Lytechinus pictus: one gene and its partner. The protein of the gene in region 1 interacts with the protein of each later gene in a biochemical or structural test. Links are inferred from orthologs where the notes say so. Each region holds a gene or a part of one and is shown in the gene's direction. Other genes may lie near its edges. The genes, in order: early endosome antigen 1-like and ras-related protein Rab-22A-like.

Region 1 (17,473 bases):
GAAAACGGAAAGTGGAGATGTGACATCATCAGCCCACCTAATGAATATTCATGACGACTGTTTTCACAAAATATTGCTATATACTTTAAACTTCAATAACTTTATTATTTGTTATCCGATTTTGATGAAATTTTCTACATTTTGCTCAGTGAATTCTACTCTATGTATTAAGATATAAATATTTTCAGCCCGGATCATCCCTTTAAGAAAATTAGTGCGCGATTCACGCTCGCATATTTCTTATACTGCCAAAAACTACTCAGAATGTTTATTGCTTTAGTCTAAATGCATCAAATCTCAAAAAAGTTGAGCTCCGCTTCGTGCTCTCATTATATATTCAGGCAGTGTGAGTTAGCCTCTCTTGTTTGTTGGGACTACTCCCTTTATAAACCAACAGCAAAAATGGCTTTTAGCGGCCGATTGGGGAAACATGGATGAAAACGTTCTGCGCCCCACCCCCTTTTGGCAAAATTCTGCTTTATATTCTGTATTAGAAACACATGTATGCGTGCTCTGCGCCTGGACTCCAACAGGGGCCCAAAAGTTGGATCCAGCGCCCTAGTCACAAAGCTTGCGCTTAACACTCCATTTTGTGAAACATGCAAAATAAATTTATCCCCCCCCTTTTCCTTTGCCACCCACCAGTTTCAAAATCCTGGTGCCACCACTGCTTGGGGGCTCTCATTATGTAAAACATTGTAATGCCCAGTTCTTTATTTTTTTTTAAATAGTATACACAGATTTTTTTTTCTGTGAGGAGGGGATGTGAAAAACAAATCTTAAGAACTGATATTTTAATGATTTCATGCACATTTTAGTGAATTTTGTGAAACTCTTCTGTAAGAAAGGAAGGTTTACTTTTTCGAGGGGGGGGCATTAATTCTGCCCCCTCCCGCTACGTACCAACATGTTATTAATTTATCACGTGCTCCCCTTTCCCCCAGGGGAAACTGGTATAGGACCTATCGCTTTGAAATTATTATTCATATGGTACATTCCGAGTTACAATATGAAATATGATTTATTTCTTAAAATGTCATGAACAGCGATAAAATATTAAATTAAAAAAAAGTGACCACTCTTCATCATAATGAATACAATACTGCCCTCCTGCATTCGCGCCTGCCCCTCTAAACACACTTAAAAAAAAAACGGTCAGATTACAGAGCTTGAACAAATTACTGAGTGAAGACAAATCTTATCTGCAACTCGATTCCTGAATAAAATACTGATGCGACATTATGCGTTAAGACTTGCAATGTTATGCATTAGTTATTTAAGCTACAACATTATGTGTTTACTGTGACATTATGCCAAAAGCATCCAACGCATAATGTCACAGTCAATGCATAATGTGGAGCGTTGTGGCCCAGTAGATTAGTCTTCGGACTTTGAAACAGAGGGTCGTGGGTTCGAATCCCAGCCATGGCGTAATTTCCTTCGGCAAGAAACTGATCCACAATGTGCCGTACTCAACCCAGGTGAGGTAAATGGGTACCGGTAGGAAGTAATTCCTTAAAAAGCTGTGTGCGCTATGAACGCCTAGCTTAGCCGGGTAATATAGGAGCACCTTGAGCACCTAACAAGGTGGATATGTGCGCAATATAAATGCCCTATATTATTATTATTATAATGTCGCAATTGCATCGCTGCGACATTATCGGTTTTAACAGGGGCCACTTACACTGATGAGTGGATACCATGTGTGACCAAAAAACATGTAAGAAGGATGTCTTTGTTATGTACGTAACGTAATAAGGGTGTCAAAAACACAAAAGTAATGAAAAAAGGGTATCTATTTCGCTTGGAAAGCTACGTGTTAAGGGTCAAATTTGCGAGAGTATAAAAAATGTTGCAGGATGTACTTTTTGCCCCAACAGTCAACACTACAATTTTAGAGTCCTATTTGCGCGAGGTGTTGGAGGTGGGGCAGTATTAAACCCAATGATGTACATGTAGGTAAACATGGTAAAGGTAAAACCAATGTCCATGACATATATCAATTAAAATATTGCTGTAGATCTAGATTTACTTGTTTAGGGGTTCAATTTAGGGAATACTTGCCAAGGGTATCAACCACAAAAGTGGTAGGTATGTGCCGTGGGCGAGACAAAAAACAGGGGTTTGGAATGGGCTTATTGTAAAAAGGAGGGTCTTCGGAACTACAAATTTTTGTAAAAATGGGGGTCCTTGGATTTGGAACGATTCGCCTGAGTGTGAGTGCATATGCAACCCTATGGAACGGCGCTTGCGCAGAGGCAATGGTCAGACAGTGCTGTGCGGGCTGCTTTTCACCAAAAAGGCAGATTATTGTAGCGGATATTGACGCAATGCGGCCGGAAGAGCGTAAAAAAAAATATGCAAAGCTTTGGAACGGATTTCTTTCTTCTTTTTTCTTGATATAAGAAGAAAATGCTATGCTTTGGAACAGCTTTCTTTGTTCTTTTTCTCAAAAAGATAAAAATGTTATGCTTTGGAACAGAAATTAGAGTGTAAAAATGGACATGACGAAAGAGCTCCGTTTGATAACACTATACCCCTCTTCTCCAAGTACGAAAACCCTACTGCCCCAGGCATGCAATGTAAGTATCAAAACACCTGTTTCTTGACCTCGGTCCGAAGATAACACAACAGCCCGAGTGCGGTCCGGGAAAACATGTCGCCATTTTTTATTCACTTACTTTCCTTATTTCGAGGTTGATTTTCTTTGTTCGAAATTGAAAATGGGCTAGCATTGAATTTCTGAATACAATATGCCTTTGAAAACGTGATTAAATATCGAATACAATAATTTAATTCCGAAGGTCCTTCTACAGGCAGAGAAGACTTACGTAATAGCACAGCTGTTGTTATCATTTCGTCCTTGGCTCAACGCTCATAATCTGGCCTGTGGGGATTACCTGGCCAAGCGGGGTTGATCAGGCGGGTGTTTCATAAAGCTGTTCGTAAGTTAAGAGCGACTGGTGATCATGTCTTGCGGTAAATGGTACAATTGGCGATGATCACCAGTCGTTTTTAAAGTCGCTCTTAACTTACGAACAGCTTTATGAAATGACCCCCAGGGCTTGGAAATGATGTTTTAGATTTTCAAACGCAAAATGGGGTGAAATACCGCAGTTTGCAATCCGAACTGCGGTCCGTTCCCAAACGGGGGTAAGACGTAATGGGTCCTCTCCACGGCACATACCCGGCCGCCATGCATATATACTGAGTGCCCCCCCCCCCTGGTATGTACGATCCGAGAAATATGAATTACAAGTTAAAACATAAACTAAAAAGCAGAAGAGTCTAGTTGCCATAATTTTAAGATGATTCTCTTAAAATCAAAATTGTCAAAAACTAAAACACTTAACCCTAAACAGGCCGGGGGGGTTAAATCAACTCCCCCCCTCAACATTTTCTGCGATCATTCCGCCTCGCGAAATTTTTTGACCGCGCCACTCGCAGAGTTTATACTTTTAAGTCTCGCGCATCTTTTGAGACCAAATTTACGACGCCCGGATACGCGTTTCCGAAATTACGCAACATTTTGTAAGTGCATGTCTGACCAAGGAGGTTTCAAATGAGATGGAGTAACAGCAAATAAAATCTCTTTGAACAAGGTTAAAAACCGCCAGCAGAAAGTATGTCAGGCATGCACTTTGCTCAACATCTCTTGCAATTGTGTAGACAAATGATTCCCGCATGACTCCGCAGCTATAGGTCATACATAAAGGGAAATTATGCTTTTGTGATGATAATTACTTTTTCGCCGCATCTTGGTCTGGTTATATGTGTAGTACATAATTCGGAGGCATGCGAAAATAAACTATGCAATATGTCCTGAAATATGACTCAAATTTGCTCGACTGGGCATGTGCGGGCACTCATCTGGCATATACAGTAATGAATAACAATATTCCACCGACCACATTTGAAATTTTCATTCGCCGCAAACGATCGGTTTCAGTATAAAGGTCAAATTCTTTCTTTTTTCACTAATTAAAGGTTAATTGATATAATATGGGCAAATATCTCGTCGTAATAGTGCTTGGTTATTGATGTTTTGTCATGCTTTCAAATTTCAGTTTGTTTATTAATATGAAACATGAAAAATTGATACAAATAAATATTCGTAAAATTTCACCCCTCGGATTTCTTCATTGAAACTGGCGGCTTCGAAGGCGGACATCAAAAAGGTCCTTATTGCCGTTCTTTCTTTTTGTGCTTCTTTAGAAATGAACAGCTGCTTGAATAAATTTGTTGCCTGTTGGAACTCCAGTCATAGAATCTTCTTGGTCAGACCAAAAATTGTTCCAAAACGTGATTTTGTGTACAAAGTCAATGCAAATTGAGTTTTCTCATCTTATTCATAAAGATATGATTATTTTTACTTTAAACAGCTGAAATCAATTGATTTTAGCATAATTATGCTTCAAAAAGGTTGTGCAATAAATCTGGTGAAAAAAACAAAGAAAAACAAAAGGTTGAAAAACAACGAAATACATAAGAAATTCATAAAACAATAAAATACATAAGAAATTGATTTCCAAACCGAAGTTTTTTTCAATTGCGATTGTTAAGAATGCTACAAAGAATATTTTTACCAAAAATTAGCATTCTAGGAGCTTTATTTATTGAATTAGAGCAAAAAGTATGATTTATGCATAAATTAGCATAATTAATTCATAAAAAATAAAATCTCATTATTTTGGAAAATTTTACCATACAGCCTTGTAGATTACATCGCACACTACCAGCGTGCAAATTTTTGTGGCGCTCGCGCTATCGGCGGCCGAGATCTCGACCCCCCCCCCCGGAACACAACAGCCAAAAAAGCCCGGCCTACATGTAGTTAGGGTTAAAATAAAGAAAAATTTGCTAATATTTATTGGATTTAGCCTTTTTAACTTTGTTAATAGCCTGTTGTATAACAGTGTTAACTTTCTACATTGCATTGGAGTGCCAGTTTTCCTAATTCACTCAAAGTGGACCTCAGTGGAAAACAGACAAAATAAACAGCATAATTTGAATAAAATCTCAATACAAATCAGGGTTGATGTACACTGTCAATATTTTCTCTCTATAATAGTTTATGAAATGATACAAATAGCGTGCTAAATGTAAGAAAAATATTTTACCTGCTGGTGGTGATTTGTAATATATTTAAGAGCTTACATGGATTCTCTTTGAAATTCTTTCTAGGCTGCTACCCCTGACAGTCCCAGTAGGTCTTCTGGCTATGAAGAACAAGAAGCATCGGTAAGTTGGTGTACAAATACCCTTATGATATTTCTTTCAAATATAAGCAGCTTAACTCTTACCATAGTATTTGCCAATGAATTGATGGCAAGACTTCCATACATCCCTTTCTCTATGGAAAAGGTTTATAAAGTCATATCTGACAAATATCTAAGAGATTTAGCAAAGAAAAGTTGGATGCATGCATGTCAAATTATCGAGTGTGTGCAATTCCCAGTTGCATGTATTTATTTCGTCAGAAAAAAAAGCAACTATAACTTTATAGTCTTGGAGACTAGACAAGTCGTAACATTGGCTTATGATAACTGTGAATTAACCATAGGCTTTCAGCAATTACTGCAAGCGTAGTGAGGTAACTGACGAACTAGAGATATATCGGAGACCGATCCAGAGGTTCGAATCCAACCGGAAGTAGAAAAACAGACAGAAAGTAAAAGTGAACAAAAGAGAGGGTTTAGTGGAGGGGGACATATGGAAGTCTTTAAATGAACATTATCTGATTTGCTTTCAGAGAGAAAGCAATTTGAACAGGTAGAAAGTGAACTAAACTGGGTTCCAAAAGAAACTGATCAAAGTTTTCAAGGGCACTGCACAAATTCCACTCAGTCAAAAAAATTAATTATTTTTACACAGGCTAGCTTCAATAATCTTTATGAAGCATATGTCAATAATTAAGAGATTGGTTTAATCACAGGGCGGATATATAGCCCCTCATGTCAATTGGTTTCAGAATCCAAAGTCACAAAATGGCAAAAGAAAGACCAATAAAAATGAGATGGGATTAAACAACCATTTTTCAGTTTATTACACATGTCCTTAAGAGACATGTGATTGGCTTGATCACAGAGAAGTTTATACAATCCTTCACCCACAGACAGATCCCTAGTTATGTCACGGTAAGCAGGGGTAATCTGAACGTGGTGTTTTCTGTGTGTGGCTGAGTGAGATACAGTTTAGATTATCCACTGCTTACTGGGACATCCCCAGGGGGGTTATGTGTGGCTTTGCAACTGTTCCAGTCATTTAAAATTTTGATGTTGATTTCCCGGGGGGGGGGGGGGCACTTACATTGACGAGTGGATACCATGCGCGACCAAAAAAACATGTAAAAATGATGTCTTATTCAAGATTGGGCACGTTACGTACGTAACGTGATAAGGGTGTCAAAAACACAAAAATAATGGAAAAAGGGTATCTATTTCGCTAGGAAAGTTACGTGATTAGGGTCAAATTTGTGGGGATGATGAAACAAAATTAAAATGTTTTATAAAGGATGTCCTCTTTGCCCCAACACTACGTGTTAAGAGTCCGATTTGCGCGAGGTGTGGAAGGTGGGGCCGTGCACCAAATGGTGTGTAAAGGTAAAACCGACGGACCCGTGACATAACAAATATCGCTGTATTTGTTTAGGGGTTCATTTCAGGGAATACTTGCCAAGAGTGTTGTTTTGTTTCCAATACTTGTTAAGGGTAGGGTTTCAGACGCCAATACTTGTTAAGGGGTGCATTTTCAGAATATGGAAAATACGTGTTTAGGGTGCTTTTCGAGACCCCATGGTCGCGCATGGTATCCACTCGTCAATGGAAGTGGCCCCTCGGGGTTGATTTCCTATACTTCAGTATGGTATTGATATTGTGGTCAACAGGGATTCATCTGCCCAACCTGTATGGTTGCACTGTCCTCTGCTGAACAGCTCAGGTCACACTGGGAATCAGTTCATGATACTATCTCTGGGGATGGAGCAATGGCCATGGAACCTGAAGTAGTAGCATCACCAGCAGGAAACACCAATGCTGCACGCCCAAATTCTGTCCAAGCCAATGTGAGATAGCTACATCTATATTGTGTCTTATTTTTGTATTTTGTCACTGTTATAAAATTCAATTACTATTTAAAAAAAATACCTGTATGTTAAGTTATTATTGTGTAATATCATTTATTGTTAATCACGTATAATCCTAGATAAAAAGATGTTCTGTTATCTGTACCATACAATACTAAGCCATCCATATACTCTTTTTCTGTTTTTGTTATTAGATTAAAAACAAATCTATAGTTCAAATTTTGTTAATTTAAAGTAATAGAATTGCAATTGTATTTGATGAAGAAAACATATACTGTTATAACAGATTAATATTTTTTTGGTCATGTTTTAATCTCATATAATATTGCCTTTGTCTACTACAACCATCAATGATAATGTGATGTGGGCCTGCATTGGATATCTATTGGATCTCTAGGAACGGTAAGCTTATAGTTACATGCCATCATTTATTTTATTATTTGTTTGCCGAAAGAGCTGGTTCGGGACCCCCGGGGGGCCACTTACATTGACGAGTGGATACCATGCACGACCAAAAAAACACGTAAAAAGGATGTCTTTTTCAAGATAGGGCACATTACGTACGTAACGTGATTAGGGTGTAAACAACACAAACATATTGAAAAACGGTATCTATTTCGCTCGGAAAAATATACGTGTTTAGGGTCAAATATGTGGGGATGATAAAACAAAATCAAAATGTTTTATAAAGGATGTCCTTTTTGCCCCAACACTACGTGTTTAGAGTTCGATTTGCGCGAGGTGTGGAAGGTGGGGCCGTACTAAACCAAAATAATGGTGTGTAACTATAGGTAAAACCGACGACCGACGGACCCGTGACATAACAATAAAATATCGCTGTACTTGTTTAGGGGTTCATTTCAGGGAATACTTGCCAAGAGTATCGTTTTGTTTCCAATACTTGTTAAGGGGTGCATTTTTAGAATATGGAAAATACGTGTTTAGGGTGCTTTTCAAGACGCCGTGGTCGCGCATAGTATCCACTCGTCATGGAAGTGGCCCCTCCTGGTTCGGGACAGTGGTAATTAGCCAAGTCTTAGTGGATGTAGATCTTTATACAGTGTGTATCAAAAAAAAGTTTACACTTTGAAAATGCCCTGGGAATTAAAAAATATACCACATGAGGGAAATTTTTTCACATATAATGTTGGGTTTGGGTCTCATCTATCCAATGAAAGTAAAAGTTTTGACAGAATGTTACACTTGAGTGAGCACTGTCCATTTTTGTAAAGCTCGCAGAAATCTGATTGCGCAGAAATGCTCGTTTTCACGCTGTGTCGAAAGGAAAGGGCGAATGTCAAACTTACCCTGCGAAACATTTCTCATACATTTCCCTTGCTTTTTTAGTAATTGAAATAAAACGGATACATTCAAGCATTTTGTAACAATTTTGCCACCCAAATTGAAATTTCAACACTTAGTAAGCACAACCTTTACCCTTTTTCTGCCAGCTGGATCTGAGGACATAACTGAATCTGAACAAAAGTTTATATCAGACATCTCCAGCATTTTTTCATTTTAATAATCATTTAAAGTGGGTTTACATTTCATTTTTATTTAATACTTGTTTCTCCACACTTTTCCCAAGCTTGACAATGATTTACAAAATGAAAATCAAGCCTAAGCCATTTCATGTAAATCACAGCTCAGTGTAAAGCAAATATCATCATGATGGCCTCGGTGTGTGGGTGAGTGGGGTGGGGCGCAATGCACTCTTCGAAGTGTTTTGGGCAAGGAAACAAGTTTTAAAAAAGTAAAAGATATCTTCAAATCAATTTTACTTGCTAAATTCCATGTGTTCTTCATGATTAAGGTCTACTGTTATTCGCATAACTATTTCAAAGTTCTGCGCAAATCATTTTTCACTAACTTTTCAAAAGTCAGTGGTGCTCACTCAAGCGGAAATATTTTTCGACAGTTATATCGTCATTTGCTTAAATGGATCTGTACCAATCTTTAAATGTGGAAAAATTTTCAGGATATTACAAATATATAATTTTACAGGATTTTTTCTAAGTGTAAACTTTTTTTTTATACGCACTGTATATGTGCATGTATGGATATATCGATAATATCCTGAGAACAAATGCAAATGTAATCTATAGTTTTCAAGTCAAGGGAATGTTTTGCTTCAAACCGAGATTAGTTGCCACTCCAGAGGGCCCTATTTTTCTTTAAAATCTTATATCTAATCTTAATAATTTGTACATTATATTCCTGTAGATGCGTCATGATTCTTCTCACTTTACTTTTTAATTTCTTACACAGGGATGGGGATCTTGAGAGTTTACGCCAGGAAGTCAGTGAATTACGGACCTCTTTGAAAGTAAGCAAGATTGAAGATTGCAGAATTTATAGTTTAAAGGAGCACAGGTATTAAGTCATGTCATAAGGGGTTTGATTGCAAGGATGAGTTAGAATTCCTAATTCCTAATTTCTTTATATTTCTAAACCCATCCCTCATTAAAGAAAGAATATTCAGACCTTTTTTCTACCTCATGACTTCAGAAATGGTTCAAATATTTTCTTAAATGTATCCTTAGTGCATACCAGCTTGCATTTTATGCTTTGAATTTGTGCTTGATCTAAAGATTTATTGTTTCTCATTCTCTTTCTATCTCTATATCTGCCCCCCTCGCCTTTCTCTCCTTACTCTCAGTCTGTCTATAGTTGTTCCCCTATTTCTCCCTCTTCTCATGGAATGTACTTGTGCAGTTGTGCTTACTTTATTTTACCCATTGTCATAATTGTATGATTGCTTCTCCCGGGGGGGCCACTTACATTGACAAGTGGATACCATGCGCGACCAAAAAAACACGTAAAAAGGATGTCTTTTTCACGATAGGGCACGTTACATACGTAACGTGATAAGGGTGTCAAAAACACAAAAATAATGAAAAAAGAGTATCTATTTCGCTCAGAAAATTACATGTTTAGGGTCGAATTTGTGGGGATGATAAAACAAAATTAAGATGTTTTATAAAGGATGTCCTTTTTGCCCCAACACTTCGTGTTTAGAGTCCGATTTGCGCGAGGTGTAGAAGGTGGGGTTGTACTAAACCAAATAAGGTAAAGCCGACGACCGAAGGACCCGTAACAATAAAACATTCCTGTACTTGTTTAGGGGTTCATTTCAGGGAATATTTGCCAAGAGTATCGTTTTGTTTCCAATACTTGTTAAGGGTAGGGTTTCACACGCCAATACTTGTTAAGGGGTGCATTTTCAGAATATGGAAATTACGTGTTTAGGGTGCTTTTCGAGACCCCATGGTCGCGCATAGTATCCACTCGTGAATGGAAGTGGCCCCCCCCCCCCCGGGTTGCTTCTCTTAAGCATAGTACAGCCCACTGGCTTTCTCCCTCCTTGCTTCTATCACTCTCTCTCTCACTTTCTCTCGCTTTCTTTCTCTTTCCCTCTCGCTGCCCCTCTATTTCTTTGCACAGGGTTTTTTCAGCTTGGTATACTAATTTAATATGCATGTGTGGTTTATTTTGCATGTTTGTCTTTTGTTTCTCTCTGAAGGAAGAAAAATGGTATGCTACTGAGTTGAAGAAGGAAGTGGACAGATTAAAGTCTGGGGAAGAGCCTATGTTAATAGTGAGCCAATTGTACACAAATATTTTAGCCTAGATTAAAAAAAATATCAGTTAAAGAGGAAGTTTACCCTTATGAAAAGTGTATTTTACTAAATGCAGGAAAAAAATATATATGTATTTGAAGGTATGAGCAAAATCCACCAAACCATAAGAGAGTCATGAATTCTCAAAGCTTTGATTTTGTGACATCATAAGTAATTAGATGTCCCGTGTAATTATAAATTCCATAAAATCCTGTTATGGTTCCTGGTGACTGAAAATATTTTTCTTAAAGAAGCTTGTATATGATAAGATGTCCAATGTGGAATGCACAGGTGAAGCAATTTTAGAGAAAATAGCATTTAATGGAATTTATATCACATGACATTAAATTTGTTTTCTTTCTTGTATAAAAACCAACTTCGTCAGGGGTGAACCTCTAACTAGGATTTTTTAAAATATATTTTGGAAGAATTTATATTCTTTTACTTCAGCAAAAAAGATTTTATACAAAGTATTAGGGTATACTGTTGCTAGATACTAATTGATCATTTTAACACCTGACAATAATTCATTTTCTGTTTTAATGTGACTGCAATGGAGAGTTAGAGGAAGCTATAACCAAACTTTGCAGACTTCATTACAATCATTATGGACTATAATACCCACTTTAAAATCTGGCATTCAAGAAAAGCAACTGTCCCTTCAATTTGATATTTTGTCTTCATAAAAATTCAAAGCTGATGTCAAGAAAATGTAGGCATTTCGTACAGATGGCAAACAGAATTCACACTAATATTTTGAGCACACTAATGGTATATGAATGTTGCTGTAACATAGTGTTTATACATGTATCAAACTACTCACTCACATATACCACGTTTACATACTACTTTATATGAATCATACATTACTAATTGTGACACCATTTATATAATTGTTTTCATTATGCATGTTATTTGATTAATATTTTGACAGGATGATACAGATTTGTTCAAAGAGCAATTGAAAAAGTCAGAGGAGAGCAGGTCACTCTGTAAGTACATGTTTACTGTGTTTGAAGCTGTCACAAAATTTGTAAAGCTTACTTGTTATAATTTTTGAAGATGTATAAATTCGACATTGAAAAACAATTATTAAGTTAAAGGAATCCATATGTGACTGAATAATAGGGAAAGAGAGGACCAGAAAAAATATCAAAATAATAATTTTTATTATTTTATCTTATTTCTTATAGAAAAATTTGTGCAGACCTTTTTTTCTGTTTGATATATCAACTGTAATTTACTATTATATGCAGTACCACACACTGTCCAGTCATATATATATATATATATATATATATATATATATATATATTTCTCTACATCTGTGTTTAAGACAAATATTTTTGTCTTCTTTCGTTGTTCATAATGCACCTTAACGCCCTCTACCTTCGTCTCGTGTATTATGACGGAATAAACCCATTCATAGACTTTGCCCTTTCGAAGGATATAGGCATATATATAAAATCATCTCTGAAAAAATTATCACAATTAAATTTTTACTTATGTATGTTTGTGAGTACATGGAAATTTATTTCAAGATTTGTGTTTCTTATATATGTGATTCTTATTTTAATGAGTCCCTGAATGCAATAATTTTCCGACATCACAATATACAATGATAAGCCATTACATCAGCTTAAAATATTATTTTGTCAAATGACACATGGCTCATTATTCCTACTTGCTTTAATTCATGATTATACAAACAGTATCTTCTGAGGTTGTACTTTTAAGACAAGATTTAGCAGAATCCAAACAAACAGCAGCTAATTATAAGACCATCAAAGATGCAATGGAGCAAAAGGCTGCTAGTTTGGTAAGAATAATATCATCTCTCTTCTATGTTATGATAATTTCCACTCTTCGTGAAAAAGATTCAGGGGTGGTATTCTAAAAAATCCTCATAATTTTTCTTGTAAATATTTTTCTAACTCAGCCAGATAACAGCTCGCTAAAATTCTGTCAAATTGGTATTCTGAAAATTGTCTTATCTCTGTAAGGACTTCCCTTATTTTATCTCTGACATGCCCCAATATGTTATCATCAACCAATCATTGAACTTTTTTATATGCTAAGGTCAACCAATAGAAGCATCTCTTCTGAAAAAAGTGCATTGTTGACATGAGGCGTAACTTCTCTTGCGCCCCTGATGCTATGCTTGTGTGCTACTGTGCTAAAAAGTACATGTAGCTGTTATCCCAGTCATATTTTCTCCAAAAAGATACATCATCTCAAATACCAATCTTTGATTGCTGAAAAGTCTACCAATCCGTCTCTGATATGTCTTCAAAATGTCTCTTTTTGTATAACTTGATGTTCTTGTGTGATGCAGCAAGAAATTATCATTTTTGACAGAGAAATATCACATGCAACATTAAGTCACAATAGCCCCATACCTCTTATAAAGTTTCTTGCATTTTGCAAGGAAGTTATTCAGGATGCAAAGATAAGAGAATTTTAAGAATACCTTTTATCTCAATATGTTATCTTGCGCACAGAGATATGAATTTGTTGTTTCTAACTTTACGCATCATTATTGCACTGACATCCTACACACTGAGTGAAAGTTACAAGAAAAGATACAAGAATTTTCGGAATTCGGATGTTATTTTAACTCTGAAGATACAAGAATATTTTTATTCAGACAATTTTTAGAATACGGCCCCAGTTTTATTTGATGTATCGCTGGCATAGCAGAAGCGAGATGCAGTGGCGGCGGCAGTGGTGGTGGCTATGGCGTTGGTGATGACATCATCAACATCAAATCTAAGCCAAGGTTAAGTTTTTGATATGTCATCTTAACTTAGATATAAGGACCTATTTCATGAAACTTGAACATCAGGGTAATTGAAGTACCACTGATCATGTCACATGAGTTTCAGGTAACATAATTAAGGTCAAAGGTCATTTTGGTTTAAACTACCTTTGACCATGTTGTAGTATCAATATTATAAATATTTTGAATTTTTAAGATAATTAAGAAAAATTAAAAGTCCCTAATCCATACAAAAATACATGTAATGATTATTGATTATCAGCAAATAGATGAATATAGTTTCGGGTCACTAAGCCAAGGTCAAAGGTCATATGAAGTCAGTTAACTAGTATCAACTTAAAACAAAAACTTAATTATCAGATACTTTTGAAACACAAGTCTTTGATGCGTAATACATTTTGATATAATGGTTAACATGTATCCCAAATCAAATGAGCATGATTAATAAATCTTAAGTTACTTGGTCAAAGTCAAAGTTCATTTGAGATCAATTAACTTTGATAAGAACTTTTATTTTGTCCTCACTTTAAAAGCAAATGACACTTGTGCAAGATGATAATTGGATATCACAAATGATACTCAACAAAGGAATAGCTTCATTCTATGCGCATTAAAATTGTGTATAAAGAGTTTTAGCCATGATGTGAGTAAAATTTCTGGTAATTCGATCAAGGTCATAGGTCATCTCATGTAAAAAAACTTAGATGAAAATTTAAGCAAATGGTCATATCCATTAATTTCCTTAATCCTTGAAACAAAGCATCCACAGCATTGATCCTCATGACCTCGGATTGTTAGATGTGTATTCCAGTGATAAATGAAAAATAGAAAATATTACATATTTCAATATCATAATGTCAACAGTCCTAAAATGTTGAATTGCATGATGCATGCAAGACTTCCAGAGGCATTTAACTTGTCTCCTTTTTTTTATCCTAACATTATGTTAGAATGAGACTGAAAGAATTAACTCACTGATTCCTTGTGAGAAATAGCCTTGTTAGAATGAAATGAAAACTCCATTGTAAAATATTATTGAATTATAGGGATATAGTATTAGTAATTAAGACAATGATAATGATAATGCAACATATGAAGCGTTCTTATCTCTACTGTGTGGAGTACTCAAGCAGCTAATTTTCATCATTATGCTTACTTTAGCATGTCTGCCATTCAGGCACCCATGTAAAAGCAATACAGCATGTAAACCAGTATTGTTAGAAAATAATTGGTATTGAAAATGCTTATGGTTCTTGGCATTAATTCTATTCTATAGACTTGATAATTTGTTGCACAGTATAGTATGTTTCAAGTCCTGACTGGTATTTTCCTTTGACGTCAATAGGCAGCTGATATTGCTACAATACGAGCAGAGCTAGATGAAGAGAAAGGACATCATTTAGCTCTCAAAGAAACCTTGCAACACACTCAAGTAAGTCAACATTTTGTATTTTCTTAGCCATTATGCTATTACTATGAAAATACAGCAGGATAATCAACTGCTCCTGATAAATTTGGGAGCTCTGTATGAAATTTTAATGCTCTTGTTGATATTATGTAGAAATATTAGAGTTATAGGTAAACAAGAAGAATGTCATCATGATTTTTCTGAATTTGTATATTTTATTCTTGTGTGTGACTGTTTTAAATCCATTTTATAACTTTCAGTTTGAGATGAGGGACAGGGAAAATCAAATCAAGGTATTGGAATCACAAGCATTACAAAGGTAATATCATTATCACAAATTAGCATGAAGTACACTATGAATGATAATATTTAGACATGAAATAATTACGCGCCTAGTTCAATGGTGTTTGTTGGTATTGGGTTTAGTTAATACACCAGCACCAAACATAAAATGATGCTGTTGCTAGAACTGATATTAATAGATGTGACAGTAAGAGAATACAACAGACCATGGCCCACACTGTTCATAAAAACATTAATTTGCTTATCATAAGTCTTGGAAAGATTCATTAAGCTTTTGCATGAAAATCTATCCTTCCTCCTCTGATTATACGGTATGTGTCTGACCAGATAACAATGGCAGCATGGTGTTATTGGGTGGTTTATAATGGTGATAAATTTATGTTTTATAATTGTTGGAATTTTTTTAAGAGCTCATATCTTGTATATTGCTTGAATTTTGCTTCATGAGTGAGTATTATTATTTTGAGATAACAAGCTTCATCATTTTTCAATATATTTTGTCGAAACAAATATTACATTAGAACTGCTGATGATGACATCCTAGTTTTAAAGAAAGAGTTGGTTAGTATACAAACTTTGATGGACCAGATGAGTCTTGAAGCTGAAGCAGAAAAGAAGGAGCTAGAGAAACAGTGTGGTGAACTCAAAACAAGGAATGAAGAGTAAGTTTACCAATATATTTTTTATTTATTTAATCTCAATATTGTCCTCAGAGACAATGTGTGTCAGTAGATGCATCAATGTAACTTCCATGCTCTTTGTTTTAGGATTTAATGTACTGTTGATCCCTAATGAACATAGATACTTCATCTTCATGGCCATGTTTTTATAATTTTGTGTAATTTATGTTTCTTTTAATACAGTATGGAAAATAGTTTGAGCTGGTCTTTTCATAGACTTGAAACTGAAATCCTGCAACCAAACGGCAAACAGTAAACAAGCTTGTGTCAGGTTTAATCTTAAAGGTTTTTCTCATCATCTCAAAGACTTCAATCTAGTTTTGATTAATGAAAACAAAAGGTTTGATTGTTATAGCATTGTTCATAGAATATTGTCAAGGCAATATTTTACAGAACAATAGGAAAATTTCATAGTGTGAGTTATTTCCCCATTGCTGCATTTTACTTCTTGGCAGACTCTTCATGTGTATATGTGGAATCATGGACTTGTGAGAATTGCCCAAGCCTTAGCACAACGACTTTACAAGTTTTGCATGGGCCCTCCTCATTCATCCTATCTATGTATGCATTTGTTTCCTCATTAATATGTATACCTATTGTTATGTAGTATGTATTTAACTTCCTGTTATCCTTTCAGTCATTAACCTTCACTTGTTACAAACTCCCCCAATGTCATCTAAGAATTCCCAAACCCCCAATACCATTTAACTCCTAAACCTTGACCATAAATGACCAACCCTCAGTGACGTCAGCTAACTTCAAGGAACAAAAGTTCTAAGAAGTATGACTCACACTTCCAGCCCCAGTCACTTGCACAGAGCATCACCACATCCCTTATACCAGAGAAAGTTTGATAGACAGTTACCGGTAGACCAATCAGATCAAATTTAGATCACTCCCACCTTAAATCGTTACACCCCCAAAACTAATGATATAAATAAGACTTCTTGATTATTGGAGATAGAAAATATACAGTAGAATACTACACCCACACTCATCCATAGAGACTGACTGACTTCAAGACTTAGACGTCCATCGAATATTAATTTAACTTCACAATCTCAATCTGAAACTTCTTAATTATTTTATATTCATCGTCTCCTATGATATCTGAATCTTCATGTACTTCGAACTGTAGCTGAATATTGATGATTAAATACTCTGTAATTTGAACTGTATAAATTTCTCCAAAGTTCCTTATTACGCTTCCCTATATTATAATTACCGATCCCAACACGACACTATCTTCATTACAGTGCAGATGCTCCTCATTAATATGTATACCTATCTTCATTACAGGGCAGATGCTCCTCATTAATATGTATACCTATCTTCATTACAGGGCAGATGCTCCTCATTAATATGTATACCTATCTTCATTACAGGGCAGATGCTCCTCATTAATATGTATACCTATCTTCATTACAGGGCAGATGCTCCTCATTAATATGTATACCTATCTTCATTACAGGGCAGATGCTCCTCATTAATATGTATACCTATCTTCATTACAGGGCAGATGCTCCTCATTAATATGTATACCTATCTTCATTACAGGGCAGATGCTCCTCATTAATATGTATACCTATCTTCATTACA
Region 2 (17,179 bases), on another chromosome or scaffold:
GTTAAGTGGCAAAAAAACAAGCGATTATCGACAAGACTAGCCATAAAGAGGTTATCGATAACAGCCCTAGTTGAAAATGATGTACATGTACTGTATGTTCTCTCAAATTTCCTTTTGACTCCATTTATAATTTAAAATTTAGATTACGGTTTAAATCCTGAGCATTTACAACGATTTGGGCACATCCACGGTTACGGAGTGACATTCAGAAACAGGTTTTTAGCATTCAAACAAAGATATCACACATTTAAATAGTTATTTGCAAAGAAATGGTACCTGACAGTAGTTGCTGAAACCCACTTTTCAAAATAATAACATTTGTTATTTTGATCCTCTGAATTATTGAGATATGAATATTCATAAACATGGTTACGGAGTGACGTAAAATGGACATATTTGAGGAGAAAAGATATTGCTCAAAATCTGTGAACTTTAAATGGCTATCACAATGTTGAGTTATTGATTGAATTCTATGTTGTTCTAGCTTTAATATGCTGCATTAAATAAAAATATTGGTGTACATGTATTTTTTCATTAATTACAACTTAAAACATAAACCCATACCCGGTTACGGAGTGACATCTGAAATATTCACACACAGGCAACGTAAAATGAACTTATATTTTAAAATTTTCTTTTGATATGATGTAAAATGATGACCTTCAAATTATCCAAATGAAAATTTTACAAAACAAGCAATAGTTTTCTGTTAAATTGAAATTAAGTAAAAAACAATATGTCATGTAGTCCCATGTATAGTTTGGATTATCCTATAAGTAGATGCGTAAGGAAAAAAAATTGTTGCTAATTATGTTCCCCTTTTGTATTTATGAAATCCCATATGAGATTTGATAGAAAAATTTGATCCAGATTTGAAATAGAGCCAATATAATTTTTTGGAAAATTTCCACTTTTGCTTGGAATTGCCCATTTGTCAAATCACTGCGAAAAAGCACTTAAGAAGACATTCATGTAGTTTTATAATTGAATTTTTTTTAAATTAATTTTGTTTGCATGTATGTCATTACCATGGTCATCTAGGTCCTGGAGCAATTTCCCAAGACTTTAACTCGTTACAGGCAATGTATGGATATGGAGTGACATTCTGTGTTAAACCACAGACTTCACCACGTTTTGATGGGATTTCCTGACTAGGATCTGTGGCACATAAAATATTGATAAAATAATGAATGAGAAAATGGAATATGGCAGAAGAAGCAGGATGCTGTAATTTAGTTTTAACAGAGCAAAACAAATTAAAGAATTTAGCACTGTTTTTAGCAATATGTATTTAGCAATTTTCGGATGATATTAGGTTGTCTCCAGAGTCATCAATTTGAACATAAATGCTATCAATAAATAATGAAAAATAATCACTTACAATTTTTATTTGGTCCAATATGGGTAACTGGTAAAACCTTAGGTGTGGGGTTCACAAACCACTTTGGGAAATCATATAGTTTGGAGGAAATATTCTATGTCAAGATTCTCAAATAAAACTTCAGCCAGCTCTACATTTATCCACCATTAAAGCCACAAATATAAAATTGAAGTTGGGGAAAGGATAAAAAAAGCACTTTTGTGTGACTTTCGGTGAAGCTACTTTTTAAAGTTCCTTGTGTGGGAGTATAATAATGTAGGCAATTACATTTGTGTCATGCTCAGTTTAATGAAATCTAATACAGAACTTGAAAGGAAAGAGTATCATGGATGAGATTCAATTAGAGGATCATCAAACGAGAATAATTATTGACAGGACAAAGGTGTGAGGAGAGACGGATGGCTAGATCAGTGTGAGAATGATATTGGTTTTGGTGGTCAGAACGATGTGGCAGACAGCAACAGGTTGCTGTCACAGGCAAGAATACAATCTGAGGGTGCGTTCAAGCGATTTCAGTATTAAGCTGGAATGCTAAACGTGATTCTTAAATAAAAATGGAAGCTTAAAACACCCTTATTCTAGGTGGGTGATTTTTCAACAAAGCTGATTCTCATTTGTTACAAGACATTCTCATTTGTCTGCATAATTTGATCTGAGAAGCACATGTGTGAAATTCAACTGTTAAATGTACACAGAATAAAGAATTGTCTCAAACTCTGAACCAATAGCCAATAACTACAGTACTAGGGAACTAGGGCTACAATTGTACTAGAGCTACAATTCTTTATCATACTTTTAGGGTAAGACCGATTTTCTATAGGGCAATTTTAATATTATAGAAGAATTTTGAAAAACAAGAAGGGGCACTAAATTTAAAAAAAGCCCCAAGGCCAATGAGAGAGGCATTGAGGGAATTCAATAGCTGATCAATAAATGACTTTCAATGAACATGGTTTTAGAATTGGGTTGAAATATTCACCTTTTGTTAAAGTATTCCATGTTTATCCTTAGAAAAGAGGTTTGTTTTCATGACCAACTAAAAATGATTTAATGGTCCATACTCTGAACTTGGGTCTAGTTCAAACTCTGATCTTAATTTGTGATTTGACGCTCAAATGATCATTCATAACTGACTGCGAATAATTACTGAAAGAGTTCTATTTATTGTTAATGGTGAGGAAAGAGCCAGGTAAAGATAGGAATCATAATGCACGTATATATGTACAAGTAGTAGTACAATATTGAAATTTTTGGCTTCCTATTAGACCATGGCCTAAATTACAACAGACTCCAGAATAAGGGCTATAAATGTCTAAGAAAACTGGTTCTAGGAGGAAAAAGAATTGTGTAAACTCAACTTGAGTACAGGAAAACTTTATATTGGCAAGGTAAATCCCCATATTTGTCAGGCCATCACTGATCGTTGGACAAATCAATATCCTGTGTTCTAAGAAAATTGAAAGGTGGTACTCCTGACGCTCTTCAGTCCAACCAAATCAAATGTCAAATACATGTAGGTACTGTAATGACACTGTCAAAATAGATTACATCTACATGAATGAATTTTGTAGATAAATATACAGCATTCATGTGTGCCCGTCTGCAGTTTTTCACAGAATAAACCTAAAATGTCATGGTTTCAGACTTTCAGTTAAAAATATCACCAATAGTATGGATGTACTTATTGTAGCTTTCATTATTTGGTCGCTTTGTTCATTACTTTATTTATCATAACATTGTACTACGTGTATGTGTACTACATGTATGTGTACATATTTAATAACATGTATTTGGGAATGGGTGATGTAAAATAGAATGCACATTGTGCATACATGAAGGAGTCTAGGCCTACACAACAGTATAAATGCTTGATCATCGAGAGAATTTATTCAAGTACATGACAATTATGTACTCTCAATGACATTTGATTACCTAGTTTAAACGGTACTTATATCTTTAGTGGCCGTCACACCTTGAAAGCTCAGCCAACTTCTATCAATGCATTTTGGGTGTGGTAAACCATTTTAACACTTCTTCCCATTTCTTAATATCATTTTATTTATATCACTTAATTTATCAAGTAATGGAATTCTTGACGTCAAGAAAATTATTTGTACATGTATATTTAACAATAGCAATTCTTGGGGTCAAGAAAAAAGGTAAAATAAAAAGAAATGACTTGCCATACATACATGTACATTAGCAAACTGTACACTAGCTGAAATGTTAGGGTATGACAGCCCCTTTTGTTGTGTCTCACATGATAGCCATCTGGCATTCTGGCCCCTTCTCAACAAAACTATTAATAGGTCCAGACAACTTATAAATTAGCTACAAATCCTCTTTATCATCCACTGACGTACAACTTTGTGGGTAGAGTATTCAATGTGACACTTTCTCAATACTGAATCAGTTAAGTTGGTCCAGAAGTGTAGCCATTCTCTTTGTTTTGCCAAGCCCTGTGTTGCACAAAGAACTTGTAGGTTAACTAATCAAGGACTAGAAATTCAATTAGATTTTTCTTCTTGTGGGGGTGGCCAGGGGGATAAATCAGGGGGTTAATTTACTCAATGAATGAGCAGAAAGAGCATTCCATTTGACGTCAGTGACAAGTTCGATGACAAGTTTAGTTTGGACTGCGTCTTCAGATGGCAGGATGGCCAAAGGAACGCAGCCAGGAGTGGGCGAGATGAGTCACAGATTTTCCATAAAAAGGAGCAATTAGTTAGGGACGTCATAATAGACTGGTAATGAAATGTGACGCAAAACGTCAACTCTAGGCTCACAAGGGAAGCATGAGAGTTTGTCATTTTTTCTCTTTGATCCAAAAAGAATCGACCTTACTTGTAGCTGCATTTGTGGTGAAGGCGTTAGAATGTTCCCTATCTAATATCTCTGATGGTCTATTTTTGAACAGCATTGATATGACCCATCAATCTGAATAGTCTTTGTTTGTAGTTGAGATTTATTTTGAGCTTATTTGTAGCACTATTGAACAGAATTGTTTTCTGAGTATTTTGATCAATATTTGTGGAAGTTCCAGCTTCTGCATGTTCTGCAGTAGGTAGAATCTGTGTATTAAAGGAGAATGAAACTCTTGGAGCAAGTTAGCTTTTGTGAAAGCAGAAAAATCAAAGAATAAGATCAACAAAAGTTTGAGTAAAATAGGACTAGCAATAGAAGAGTTATGAGCATTTGAATGTCGAGATCACTAATGCTATGGAGATCCTCCCATTGGCAATGCGACCAAGATCTATGATGTCACAGATGAACAACTCTCCCCTTTTGGACACTGAAAATATACCCCAAAACATCTCTTTTTGCTCATTCTAATCATATGACAAACGATTCATCAATGATATAATGTTGTGAAACCTCTGTACTTGTCCTCTCATATAAAGAGAACACCTCACCTTGTGATAGACTATAAAAGTGAGAATATAAGTGAAATAAGTACTAAAGTAATGAGGGAGTTGTACGTGTGTGACATCACAGATCTTGGTCGCATTGCCAATGGGAAGATCTACATGGCATTAGTGATCTCAATATTCAAATGCTCATAACTTTCTTATTATTCATTCAATCTTCCTCAAACTTTCAACAATATGTTTCTTTGATTTTTCTCTTTGATATGGATTCAGCTGGTTTCAAGGGTTTCATTCTCCTTTAATATCAGAATTGTCAAGGGCGTATTCTGGTTTGAGCATGGGGAGGTTCACATCCAAGGGAGGCGGAACTAAACTTTGGCAAATCAGCTATTTTAAGCAGAAGAAGGGGTACAAATTTTGTTTTGCTTGCCAGTGTCAGCACTCCTCTGCCTCAGCGGGAGAGTGCACATGCACCTAGTGCACCCCCAGCCTACGCCCTTGATCATATATGTGGAAAACAGGGCCCTCTGGGAGAACAGTATGTGTCACTGCTGGGGATACTGTGTATGAATGATGACGATGAAGATGGTGAAGATAACAATTATTATAATGATGACGATGACGATTATTATGTTGATGATGATGATGATGATGATGATGATGACACATGTGATTAATGATGTACAACAACAACAACAAAATAATTAGGCCCTCATCAAGAACACATTTCTCATAGAGATCTACAAGGCATTTGGCAAGTACACATGTTTGATTATTTGACCCATATGGCCTTTTATTTGCATCCAAGATGAAATCATACATTTAACATGATAAAACAATATTTAGAAATATTATAAAGAGGCAAGGGATAAAAAAGCAAAATACAGATTTAGAGATAACAATTACAACAAATGAAAAGCACAAGATACGTGTACCGGATGCAGGGGACCAGCAAAGGCCGAAGGCCTATCAAGGCTAGTCCCCTAAAATGACATACCAATAAATAAAGTGTACACCAATACAAAAAAGGGCAAACAGGCAACTGAAAGTCTATTGAATGAATGATTGATTAATACACATGTAAAGGTGTATTCCAGCCAAGGGTTCTTTCCTTCCTAATAGGTGGATAACCAAGATGACTAGATTTTGAAATTGAAGACATGGGGTAATCCATAATAAACAACCTGTAAATGTCACTACTATAGTATGTAGTCTGCTATGCAAACCATTCTCAAGTTAAAGGTCTGAATGTGCAGCCTATAATGCTTTGGTTACTGAAGGCGCTCTCACTCTGCAAGTTTTATATGTGCTAGTCTTAAGTGTGGAGATCCACTTGTTGATCAAAGTGCCTGCAGACTATGTCACTACTAGTGGGCCAATTCAAGTACATCAACGTTGCGACAAAGTAAATCTGGGACTGGGAGAGATGTATTAAAATGTAAGGGTAGCTCCTGAAGTTTGGTGGTTCTTGTGAAATTCATAGTAGCCTATTTTTAATCTTGTTTTGGCTTGATCACCTGGTAGTGTTTTGTTCTGGTTTTGTTAATTCAAGGAATTCAGAAATCCTTATTGAAGACACATACTTCACCTGGGTCGAGTGCAGCACACATGGATACATTTTGTTTTGCTGAGGGATATCTTCTTGATATTTTCCATTTTCCATCTAATTTGTTCTAAATGCATATAGTTAGTCAAAGTCTGCCTCAAATGATGTTCATTGTTTCAAATTTTTAAGACAATTGAAGGGAAAAGGTGTATAGTGGAGTGGGTGAAAATGTAACATGAGTTGTGCTCATACAACAGTTGCTCCTCTGAAAATTTCTCTGAAGATTGTAAGGTGAGGTTAGAGTTGTTATAAGGTATTTGGTTCAGAATCATGCATGGATAAGGATTAAGGTTAGGTAAGGTCAGGTTTGAAGCTCAAGTTTATATTTGGCTTACTGTAATGTGTGCATTTTCAGTAGACTGTGCAATTGTCGAGGAGCATACCTGTATGGCATGGAACCATGTCGGACACAGCAAAATAAGATACAGGGCAGCTTGTATGATCAGGGACCCCTCTCACGTCCCTGGTATGATGCAGGATTTCTGGTCAATATGCTGTTGACATGTCCACTTTCAAAATTATTGTGTAGATATTTTCTTTGAGACAAAAGATTTCCTTGAAAGCCTGACAGATTGTCTGAGGCTTGTCAGACAAAGCAATAAGTGCAAACTGGATTCCAAGTTAATCTATTGCAGTTCACTCCAGTTCTTAAAGCTCATCATCTGGTCTCTGGAAAAGAATTCTCCCTGTATTTTAGCAATGAAGATGATAATAAATTAGGTCTGATATGTCCTCTTTATTTATCCCAGCAGAAATTGTCCTCTTCTTTGATACTATTCAGAAAGACATGTTAAGGAGTTTGCCACTCTAATGGTCAATGGATGGTGCAACACCCTACATGTAAACATTTGACATGCATGATCAACTATCAGCCTTTGAGCACACTTCTTAGTAAACTTTACTATATTTTTTGCCTGTTATTTTTTCAAATTTTCTTTCATTATCTGAAATATCACAAGGGGGGATGGGGATTGAAACGACAGCAACAATAATGATAGTAGTAATGATGATGCTGATGATGATGATGGTGATGTTGATAGTACTGATGACCTGGTGATGATGATGATGATGATAACAACAACAAAAACAATAATGATAATAATAACAATAATGATGATAATAATGATGATAATAATAATAATAATAATAATAATAATTATAATAATAATAACAATAACAATAATAATAATAATAATGATAATGATAATGATAATAATGATAATAATAATAATGATAAACAGTAACAACAACAACAACACAGGGTAGCCACTTCAGTTCTGGAAACTGGCCTCGCGAGGGCCTTTGCTTAACATGATAATGTTATTATTACCCCTCCCCCCTGCCTGTTGCATGTGCATGTAGGTGTAAACATGCAATACATGTAATTCGGCTATCACCTCCCCTATACTTGTAAGAGATGTGACTTGTGAGAAGGAACTCACTGGCATAGATGTGGAGACATGACTTCCTGGGCTTCATGAACCATGAAGATGTGCTTTCATAATGTAATTATCTAGCTTCTAAACTACCATACCATTAATAGGGCCTTTTCACACGTGAATCTTGAATTATCATTGTAATGATGATTGCAATTTTTTTTTCTTTCAATAATGATGATTGCAATTCGTCTTTGGAATCATCGAACCTTTCACACGCTCACTCGAAAACTTTGATTTGAATTCGAATTCCCGAGCAAAGGCTGTATGTGTTCTTGGTGACTTGTCAATCAAAGCACTGAATCGCAAATACAAACTACGATGAGTGCATAAATTGTATTATCTATGGAAGTGCATAAAAGGTCACGTAAGCTCCGCCCCTCCAAAAGATGTTTTAGAGGTCAAGCCTATCACTCACAAAATTTGTACCGTAATTTTAGTGAAACTTAACTGGAATTCACCTCCAAAATAGTATTTGAATTCTTGATTGTGATTAGCGTTCATGATTCTAATCATCATGTTCTAGTTTGGTTTCACACGTGCTAAAAATTTGTCATTAGCCTTATTTTCCACTTGAATCATCATTCAAATTAAAAAAAAATTACCATGTGAAAGGGCGGTTAGACAAAATCATGATATGATACATTGAATTTTTTTTTATTTGTCATGATTATTTGTGCCTACATGTATAGCTTTTCATCATCACATTGAAATATTTTTAATTCTCTGCATTCTATTTCTTTGCATGTGAGAATATTTTCCCTGTTTAAACTTTTAACAGTTTTTGTGATAAATGAGTGAACTTCCAATACTTCTATCATATTTACAGTTGCTATGTCTGTCATGCCTCTGGCAAGATTTTTATGTTCTTCAAACTTTCTTGCTACACTGTTCATGTATATTGTAATTATCAGTATCTATCAGACTACATGTATCTGTATTTTATATTCATACTCTTTATAAAGCAAACTGCTCACATGGCTCTTGTGAGGAATTTTATGTAGGAGCTGTTTCAACATTCCTCTGTCACGTGACAAATCTGCAGTCATGTCTCAGTCCCAGACCCTGTACTGCATGCATTTACAATTCACTCACTGTAGATTTTATATCCACTCATGTGTGCACATATCATACAGCAGGGGTAAAACAAATCTTGGCAATTAAGCGTGGTTGACTCATTAAAGCAATTAAGGGGCTTCCTAATGTGTTCTTGTACTTGAGATGCAGTATATATGTAGTATCCTGAGGTTTGAGGCACTGCTTCCAGTTTTCTCCCTGGCAACGTGTGATTTTACCAAGTTTACTCTTCAAAAGAGAGAAAAAAAGGTGAAGGGGGTGGGGAGGATGGAGGGCCAACCTCAATGCTGAAATACACTCCGCACATTGTGTACCAAAGTTTCCTCTGGGGTTTTGCCCCTCGGAAGTAGTAATGGTCAGGCCAACTTTCCATTTAAATTCCTACTTTCTCCCAGCCTGGCATATCTCTAAAATATAGATTAACAGCCTTTTCTTTGAATCATTATGATCTCAGTATCTGAGGTGTAATGAGCCAAAAAAATTGTAAGGGGGCATATATCTTTAAAGTTGTGTGCGAGTAAAGAGACCGAACCAAAATTTTCATAGTTTATATATAAATTAATGATATTAAGAAACTCAAGTGACCCTTTTCGTTTTTGTTTATATATTTCTTTTTCTCCTTTTTTTCCTTTTCCTTCTTGGTTGTGGAACTGTTTTATGCTCCAAGTCCCCTCTGTATTTGCCAATGTCCTTAATAATGCATTCATTATTGGAATTTTTTTTTTTTTCATTTTTGTGTCTAGGACTCTGGAGTTGGTAAATCAAGTATAGTTCAAAGATTTGTGAGTGATACATATTATGAATCCATCCCTCCGACGATAGGGTGAGTAAAAAACAACTTTTCAACCTTCTATTGTTTCTTCCTTCTTTCCCATTATCTCTTTATCCTCATCCATCTTGTTCTCCTTATCATCCCTCTTTTTCTTCCTTTACCACTCCAATAATTTTCATCATTTACCCCTTAATATCATTCTCATCCCTTTTACTTTCCTGAATTTCATCTTTTTCCTCTCAATTCATCATTTTCTCCTTTTTGTCTCGATGAAGGCGAGACTTAGGGATCCAAATGTTGTCCGTCCGTCGTCCGTCCGTCACAAACCTAATGACACCTAACTCCACAACCGTAAGTCGCTTTTCAACCAAACTTGGATGGTAGATGGACTTGGGGGACCTGCATGTTATGCTGCAGTCAGAGGTCAAAGGTTATTTTCAGGTCACATGGTAAGGTCAAAGGTCATTTTCAGGTCAACAGTAAAGTTTACATGCAAGACTCTCTTATGACACCTAACTCCGCAACCGTAAGTCACTTTTCAACCAAACTTGGATGGTAGATGAACTTGGGGGACCTGCATGTTATGCTGCAGTCGGAGGTCACATGGTAAGGTCAAAGGTCATTTTCAGGTCAATGTTAAAGTTTACATGCAAGACTCTTATGACACCTAACTCCGCAACCGTAAGTCACTTTTCAACCAAACTTGGATGGTAGATGGCTTGGGGGACCTGCATGTTATGCTGCCGTTGGAGGTCACATGGTAAGGTCAAAGGTCATTTTCAGGTCAACATTAAAGTTTACGTGCAAGGCTCTTAAGACAAGTGTTATTCCATCCCAGTCATTTCACAATGAAGTTTCGATACAATTCTGTTGCGTGCCCTCGCAAATCACGATATTTCTGGTTATTTTCATAAGTGGGCGAGACACAAAATCGCTTTTGCCTTGTATTTCTTATCCATCCATCATGTCCTTATCCTCATCATCCTTTTCCTCTTTCCCCTGCTCCTCTTCCCCCATCTTGTTTGTTTTCCATGTTACATTTTCTTGTTCCCCCTGTTACCACCTTGTTCTCTTGATCTTATTTCTACTTGTTTGCATTGTACATTTGAACATGCTTTATTCTTTTTTACTGTACCCCCCCCCCCCCATTCTAATGACCTTTATCTTTAAATTGACTGGTTTCCCAGTATTCATTCTGTGTTAGATGCTTTATGCACAAAAAGTATAAGTTTATATAAAAAATATAGACCATTGTGGTTGATACTAATAGCCTACTAAATTACTAATGACTTGCTATGCATATTGCGTAGCAACAAATGATGTGTGCCAACTAGATTTTCATTCATCCATAAAAGGAAGGTGTCTCTGTAAATTAAAAAAGAACTTAATATTCTAGATACAATAAAAAAAAAGAAATGACTGGTAAAGACATGAGCTTGAAATTCCAATCATTACATTCTTGTTCAAGTTCATAATAATAGTGCCAGACATTTTCTCATTGCTTTTAGAGTTGCTACATGTACTTTTTTTATTATTCAATATGAAATTTCAATAAATTGTGAGCGAATGTCACACAATTTTTCTATTGTTAGAAATGAGACTTACATATTTTATTGTTCTCCTACAGTGCCTCATTTATGTCAAAGACGTTAGCAGTTGATGAAAAAATGTACAAATTTCAAATATGGGATACCGCAGGTCAAGAAAAGGTAAAGTCCTTTTGTCTTTTCATATCACATTTAAAACAGGAAAACACACAAGGAATTTTAGCACAGTAATGTTTGTTTGGTAATGTTTAATTTATATAATTTAAAATAATTTTTGTTTTCCCCTGGTTGCATGCAGTAGTCAAATATTCATGAAGTTTAAACAAAAATTGACTTTAATAACTGTTGAGTGGTGACTGAGCGAGAGAAAATTATGATTGCAACTCTTTGTTTGTTATTATGGCAGGCAGTTATGCAGTAAAATCTTTTCATGTTAAAAGGTAATAAATTAACTCTTGGAAATGGGATGTTTACTTAGAAATTCAGATCACGTTTTTTGGCAATTCCTTTTCATATGTTTAGCAGAAAAAGTCAGACAGGAATATCAACAAATTCTTGAGTAAAATTAGACAAGCAGTATAAGGTTACATACATGTATGATCATTCGAACGTTGAAATCACAATTGCTATGGAGATCCTTCTATTGGCAATGCCATTTGGACACTGAAAATATACCCATAATCTTTTTTGTTTTTGTTCATGTCAATGATACAACATACAATACAATTTGTTCATGGTATAATGTTGTGAAACATCTATTTTATGTCATCTCATAAAAAAAGAATGTCTGACTAGATGTAAGACCAAAAAATTAAGTAAAATATGGAATAAAAACTCAATAAAGTAATGGAGAAGTTGTATGTGTGACATCACAGATTTTGTTTGCATCTCATTATTTAATTTAAATATTCATAACTTTCTTCTACATTCAAAGTTTCAATTTTCATTGATCTGTTTCTTAGATTTTCTCTTTATCTGAATTCAACTGGTTTCAAGGGATTTCAATCTCCTTTAAGTCACATCAAAGTGAAGAGAATGATATCCAAGCTTTACAAATATGCATCATTTATCAATAATGATAATGATAATAATAATAATAATAAAATGTTGCTTGTATACACGTATACAGTACATATCACTGACAATGGATGAGAGAGTCTCTCTCTGCTTATTTTATGATTCTGAGTGTGGCAATTCTCAGGGGTATTTTTTTGTTTGTTTGGATATAGTATTTATTAGAAAATGTTGAAAGTTGGCTAAGTGTTATTAGGGAATAGCAAACTGTAGCTGTGGTGTACATTAACCTTTGAATGCTTAATTGAGAGGGAGGAAGGGGGGGGGGTTACTGAACTGAAGTGTTTTTCTTTTATCACAACTATTATTTTTATTTTGCCCCTGCAGTATCGAGGTTTAGCACCCATGTATTACAGAGGGGCTGCAGCAGCAATAGTGGTCTATGATATCACAAGTCAAGTAAGTTCATCTACTCCACCTTCTTTAATTCTTCAAAGCAAAGTGCACCACATCAAGCATCGGGAACATCTTGATTTTGGATTTGATTTTGATGTTGTCTTTCATATTCTCAGTCAGACTTTGCCTTTGCAGTTTTGCTGTAATTTCGATATGGATTGAAGTAAGTGACACAAAATTATGTGAACGGGCGTGCAGGACAATAGTCAAATAACTTAAGCCCATATCAAAACTAGTATACTGTGGAGCCAAGTGAAGGCTTCTGACTGAGAATTCGAATGTTGACATCAAAATTTAAGCCAAATTAAACTTTATTAATGAAGCTGTTCCTGATGCTCGATGTGTTTGATGATAATCGATACTTGGGAATTAATTCAGACAAAAATTGAGGTGAAATTAGTTTACTAACATTTAACATTGCCAGGTGCAAAAGTGCACTACCAGAAGCCTGGCCTTGCTCGGTGCATGGTAGCACTAGTGCACTCGTAAAAAAATTCCACCTTTTTAATACAAACTGTAAATTTGTTATAGGCTTTGACATGATATTCATATTTAATCATTTTCTTTTCCTTTCTTTTGCCTTTAAGACCCATGTCTGTATGCGAGTTGGAGGGGGGGGGGTGAAGCATAGTACTTAATTGAACTGGGCATGTGAATTGTGAAAAATTGCAGCCACATATTTAGTGTTCAGACTGATGAGACAAATCACCCCCACAACAATAATAGTTTGTTGTACACATCAACTTTCAAATATAACAGATTTCTGTCCAAAGTTGTCCAAACTCGTGATCTCATATGTGCAGCCAGGTAAAAAAAAAAACCTTATTGCTCAATTTTCCATTGACTCTGTAGAGAAAATTTTGCTGAACTTTGTTATTGGGTATGATAAATAACACAAAAACAACCACTGAATGAGGAAATAAAAATAATCTACTATTATTATTGTCATCGCATTGAATGATGGTATTTGTTTTGTATTCAGTTCAATTAGAAATTTTAAGGAAATACATGGGTGCGTCTGTTGACATTAATCAAGATGGCAGCAGGATCTTGCAAGACGTATATCATATTTTTATTTGTATAGTGTGGCACTGTGGTAGTAGCATGTTCATCACACTCTAATACAGTTCTAGTCAATTCCAAATCAGTAGTCAAGGCAACTTATAAATTGTATAAGATGAAAGAAAAGACTAATTAAGGTTCCTTCAAGGCTAAAAATCAAGTGATTTTAACAAAAAAAACAGGCAAATCTAGTAATCAAACCAATGAAACCAATGACATCATAATTGGACAAGGATTCACAAAGTTATGAGAATAAAGTGTTTTTTATTTCAGTGAAGCAGTTCTATGCATGTCCTCATGAATATGCAATGAGTTAACGAATGATATCATTTCCTCAATTTTATATTATTTTTTTACATTATGTCTCTCAAGAATATAAAAGCAGGATTGACTATTTTTCACTATGTAAAATAATCATTAGTGAAACTGATTTCATTACAAAGGAGACAAGTTTTACACACCTGCATGAAAATATGATTTCAGTTGAAAAGGAAAGAGTAACATCACCATCCCACCTATTGTGTATTCATGAAAGCATAACTGTTTTCCCAAAATATTGCAGAAATTTAAAATTTAATTATTTTTTCGATGTGATTATTTTCAGGCTGGAGGACCCCTCTATGCTACATGTATCATGCCATTTTTATAATCTATTATTATCCTTTGTTTTTATTTTTCTCTTATAAACGGTATTGTGCGTCTCTGAAGATAATGTAGATGTAGACAGTGCTTTGCACATTAGTAGTCAGCCTAAATGAAATTACTATAAAAAAAAATTTATTCTTGATCATTGGCAGTGAAACAAATGCAGTAGCTCTGCAATGTATACAGGCTATTTATCTGTTTTCTTTGTTGAGTGATCTGGCCTACATTTTGCATTCCTGCCAAAGTTTTATTTCTGTCTGTCACCCGGCAAGGAAGCTTGCCTGATGACTCTGTCCAATGTTGCTCTTAACTGTAGGTAGTTTGTCGTTGCAGTAGTAATGAGTCATTCATTGTTTCCTGAAATAGGCCGCTGTGGCTCTTGAAATATGGAGTAGAAAGTACAGTCTAAAGGAAGCTTGCTTGGTTACGATACCATCTCAAGTGAAAGCTATGCAACTGTATTACACTGTGATGATTACTGGATTATTGTCAAGCATGCATGCTGCAGTATTGGGTCTATATTATGTCGCTATAGACTGGAGGCGTACACAGGATTTGAATTACAACCGAAGATGGAGATAAGTGGGAAAAATGTGTATTTGTAACTCAGGATGATTGGTTGACTGAAATTGAGACGTATCATAGATTGCAAAGTGTAAACCAGTACTCTAGTAAAAAACCCACAAGAAATAAAGTGTATTATTAGCATATCATACAGGGTTGAAGGTAGTGAATACACTTTACATTTAGTTTCATACCATTTATTGAATCATATCAGAATGAACACATCTATGAGAATTAAAAAAAATACATATTTTCATGAAGAAAACTTTTTTTTGGGGGGGGGGAATATTTCAACAAAGTACATAAAATATTTTACTATTGCACAATTTCTATATTATATACTCAACTGCGCATTACAAAAAATGTTTTTATTATTATTGCCCCGGCTATAGCCGTGCTGCCTTCAGGCGCTCTGGCATTCAAGAGATTTCTTCCTACTGGGAACTTATTCACCTCACCAGGGTTGAGTGCAGCACCATATGGGTAAATTTCTTGCTGAAGGAAAACATGCCATGGCTGGGAATCAAATCCCGGGGGGGGGGGGGGCAGTCAAATATATTGCTGTACACACGTGTGAGCAAAAAACGTGTTTAAAGGGGTGATTTTTCAGTTTTGGACGCGGGCCGCGCGTGCACTCGTTAAGGGTATCAAAAACACTGATTAAAAAAAAAGGGGTAGTTTTAAAAGACTGGTCAATGGTCAATCGCAGGGTCAAATGTATTTAGGGTATTTTTTTTCCAAAGCTTTTTTTTTAAGAGTAAGACTAGCCAAACATGTTATTAAAGGGTATTTTTTCCCCAAGCTTTTTTCCCGGAGTCATATTCTGGCGACAACTTGTTTAGGGGGCAAAATGTGTAAATAAAGCACGCAAAAAACTTGTTAGGGGGTTATTTTGCACACAGAGAAAAACTCATTTAGGGGGTGTTTAAAAAATATTTTGGCCACGCGTGTGTACAGCAATACATTTGACTGCCCCCCCCCCCACGTCCCTCAGATTGAAAGACAAGTCATAATCACTAGACCAAGATGCCCCCACACCTAAAAAACAATAAGACAATTTTTGTAGCAATTATTAAGAGTGCTTCGCAAATATACCAAGATATGAAGATAATAGGAAAATTCTTCCCTACTTTTTTAACAATACTGGTTTTATGACTGTACACATAATCCTGATGAGGAGAGAAGGTGAATCAACTTTCTATTAATAATCGATCATGACTAAAATTGTCACATGATAGTGTGTATGCTTTGATGGAACTGCAAATATAAATATTTGTCATCATTATTCACGATTATCTGTCCATTATCATTGATATGTTTTAATAGTCTATTGTTGGCTCATAATCGTGTTCTTTGATATTTTAAAGTGAAAGTAATAATAACATTAAAAAAGATATTGCATTGGCTTAATGGCGATTTCTAGATGCCATTTTCCAAGCAAAATTCTGAATTGGCCTGTTTTCCAAATACTGAAAATTCATATTCTTTCCTGCATGCCGTATAAGGAACTATTTCTTAGTTTATTAATGAATGTTGCTGTATTTCTATTAGGCAAGCCTTTAGCAATCTCTCAGGTAGTTAAGAACAATATTTTTTACTAAAAAGTATTCTGGTATTATCCTGGTGTTCAGGCTGTAGAAAATCCTTTATTTTATTTTTTTTTTTTTCACTGTGGGTTACATGTAAGTGGCTCTAAGTTATTCTCAGGTCCCCTGGTCCTTTAGCACTTGCATCCTAGTTCATAGAAATTTAAGTTTAAAAAGGACTTCCCAAAACCTTTACCAACAGTTTGGAATTTGTATGGTTGTCATAATTAGATAAATAATCAAACTTGTTTTACTTCATTAACTAATTTACAGTAGAAACCATTGAACAAAGAGTCACCAACTTAAAAGTCGGGGACAAAGCTGAGGCCATATTTCAACTAAATTTTGACAGTGTCAGCCTCAGGTTGGACCAATTCCTAGGTCACAGTGTCCTTGTGACTCGGAACAGCCGACCTACTTTATACACCATTTCTTTTATTTGTAATTTACCTGAGGAAATATGATTGAGAAAAAGATAAAAAGAAATGCCAAAAAAAAAGTTTCCATGAACAATCCAACTAACTGGTCAAGCAGTCAAGACGAGAGTCTTGTATATTTCATTGTTTTTATTATTGCGGTAGATCATGTACTGCTGATTGGAAATATTCTGAATATATCTAGTCAGGTACCGATTGAGAGGGGTGGTCAAATGAGCCCCCCCCCCA

Evidence for each region.
Region 2: the proteins of early endosome antigen 1-like (region 1) and ras-related protein Rab-22A-like form a complex in vitro, tested with the Homo sapiens proteins (2 studies listed by BioGRID). The link is inferred for Lytechinus pictus from reciprocal best matches to the Homo sapiens genes EEA1 and RAB31.

What each region holds. Positions count from the first base shown.
Region 1 is NC_087247.1:72,229,638-72,247,110, forward strand, and holds the start of early endosome antigen 1-like, read left to right. Parts: upstream 1-9,299; 5' UTR 9,300-9,314; coding exon 9,315-9,410; intron 9,411-10,607; coding exon 10,608-10,682; intron 10,683-11,638; coding exon 11,639-11,696; intron 11,697-12,416; coding exon 12,417-12,523; intron 12,524-14,828; coding exon 14,829-14,915; intron 14,916-15,151; coding exon 15,152-15,210; intron 15,211-15,715; coding exon 15,716-15,856; intron 15,857-17,473. UniProt on the Homo sapiens protein: Binds phospholipid vesicles containing phosphatidylinositol 3-phosphate and participates in endosomal trafficking.
Region 2 is NC_087246.1:66,114,116-66,131,294, reverse strand, and holds the start of ras-related protein Rab-22A-like, read left to right. Parts: upstream 1-9,616; 5' UTR 9,617-9,691; intron 9,692-11,267; 5' UTR 11,268-11,277; coding exon 11,278-11,349; intron 11,350-12,588; coding exon 12,589-12,660; intron 12,661-17,179. UniProt on the Homo sapiens protein: The small GTPases Rab are key regulators of intracellular membrane trafficking, from the formation of transport vesicles to their fusion with membranes.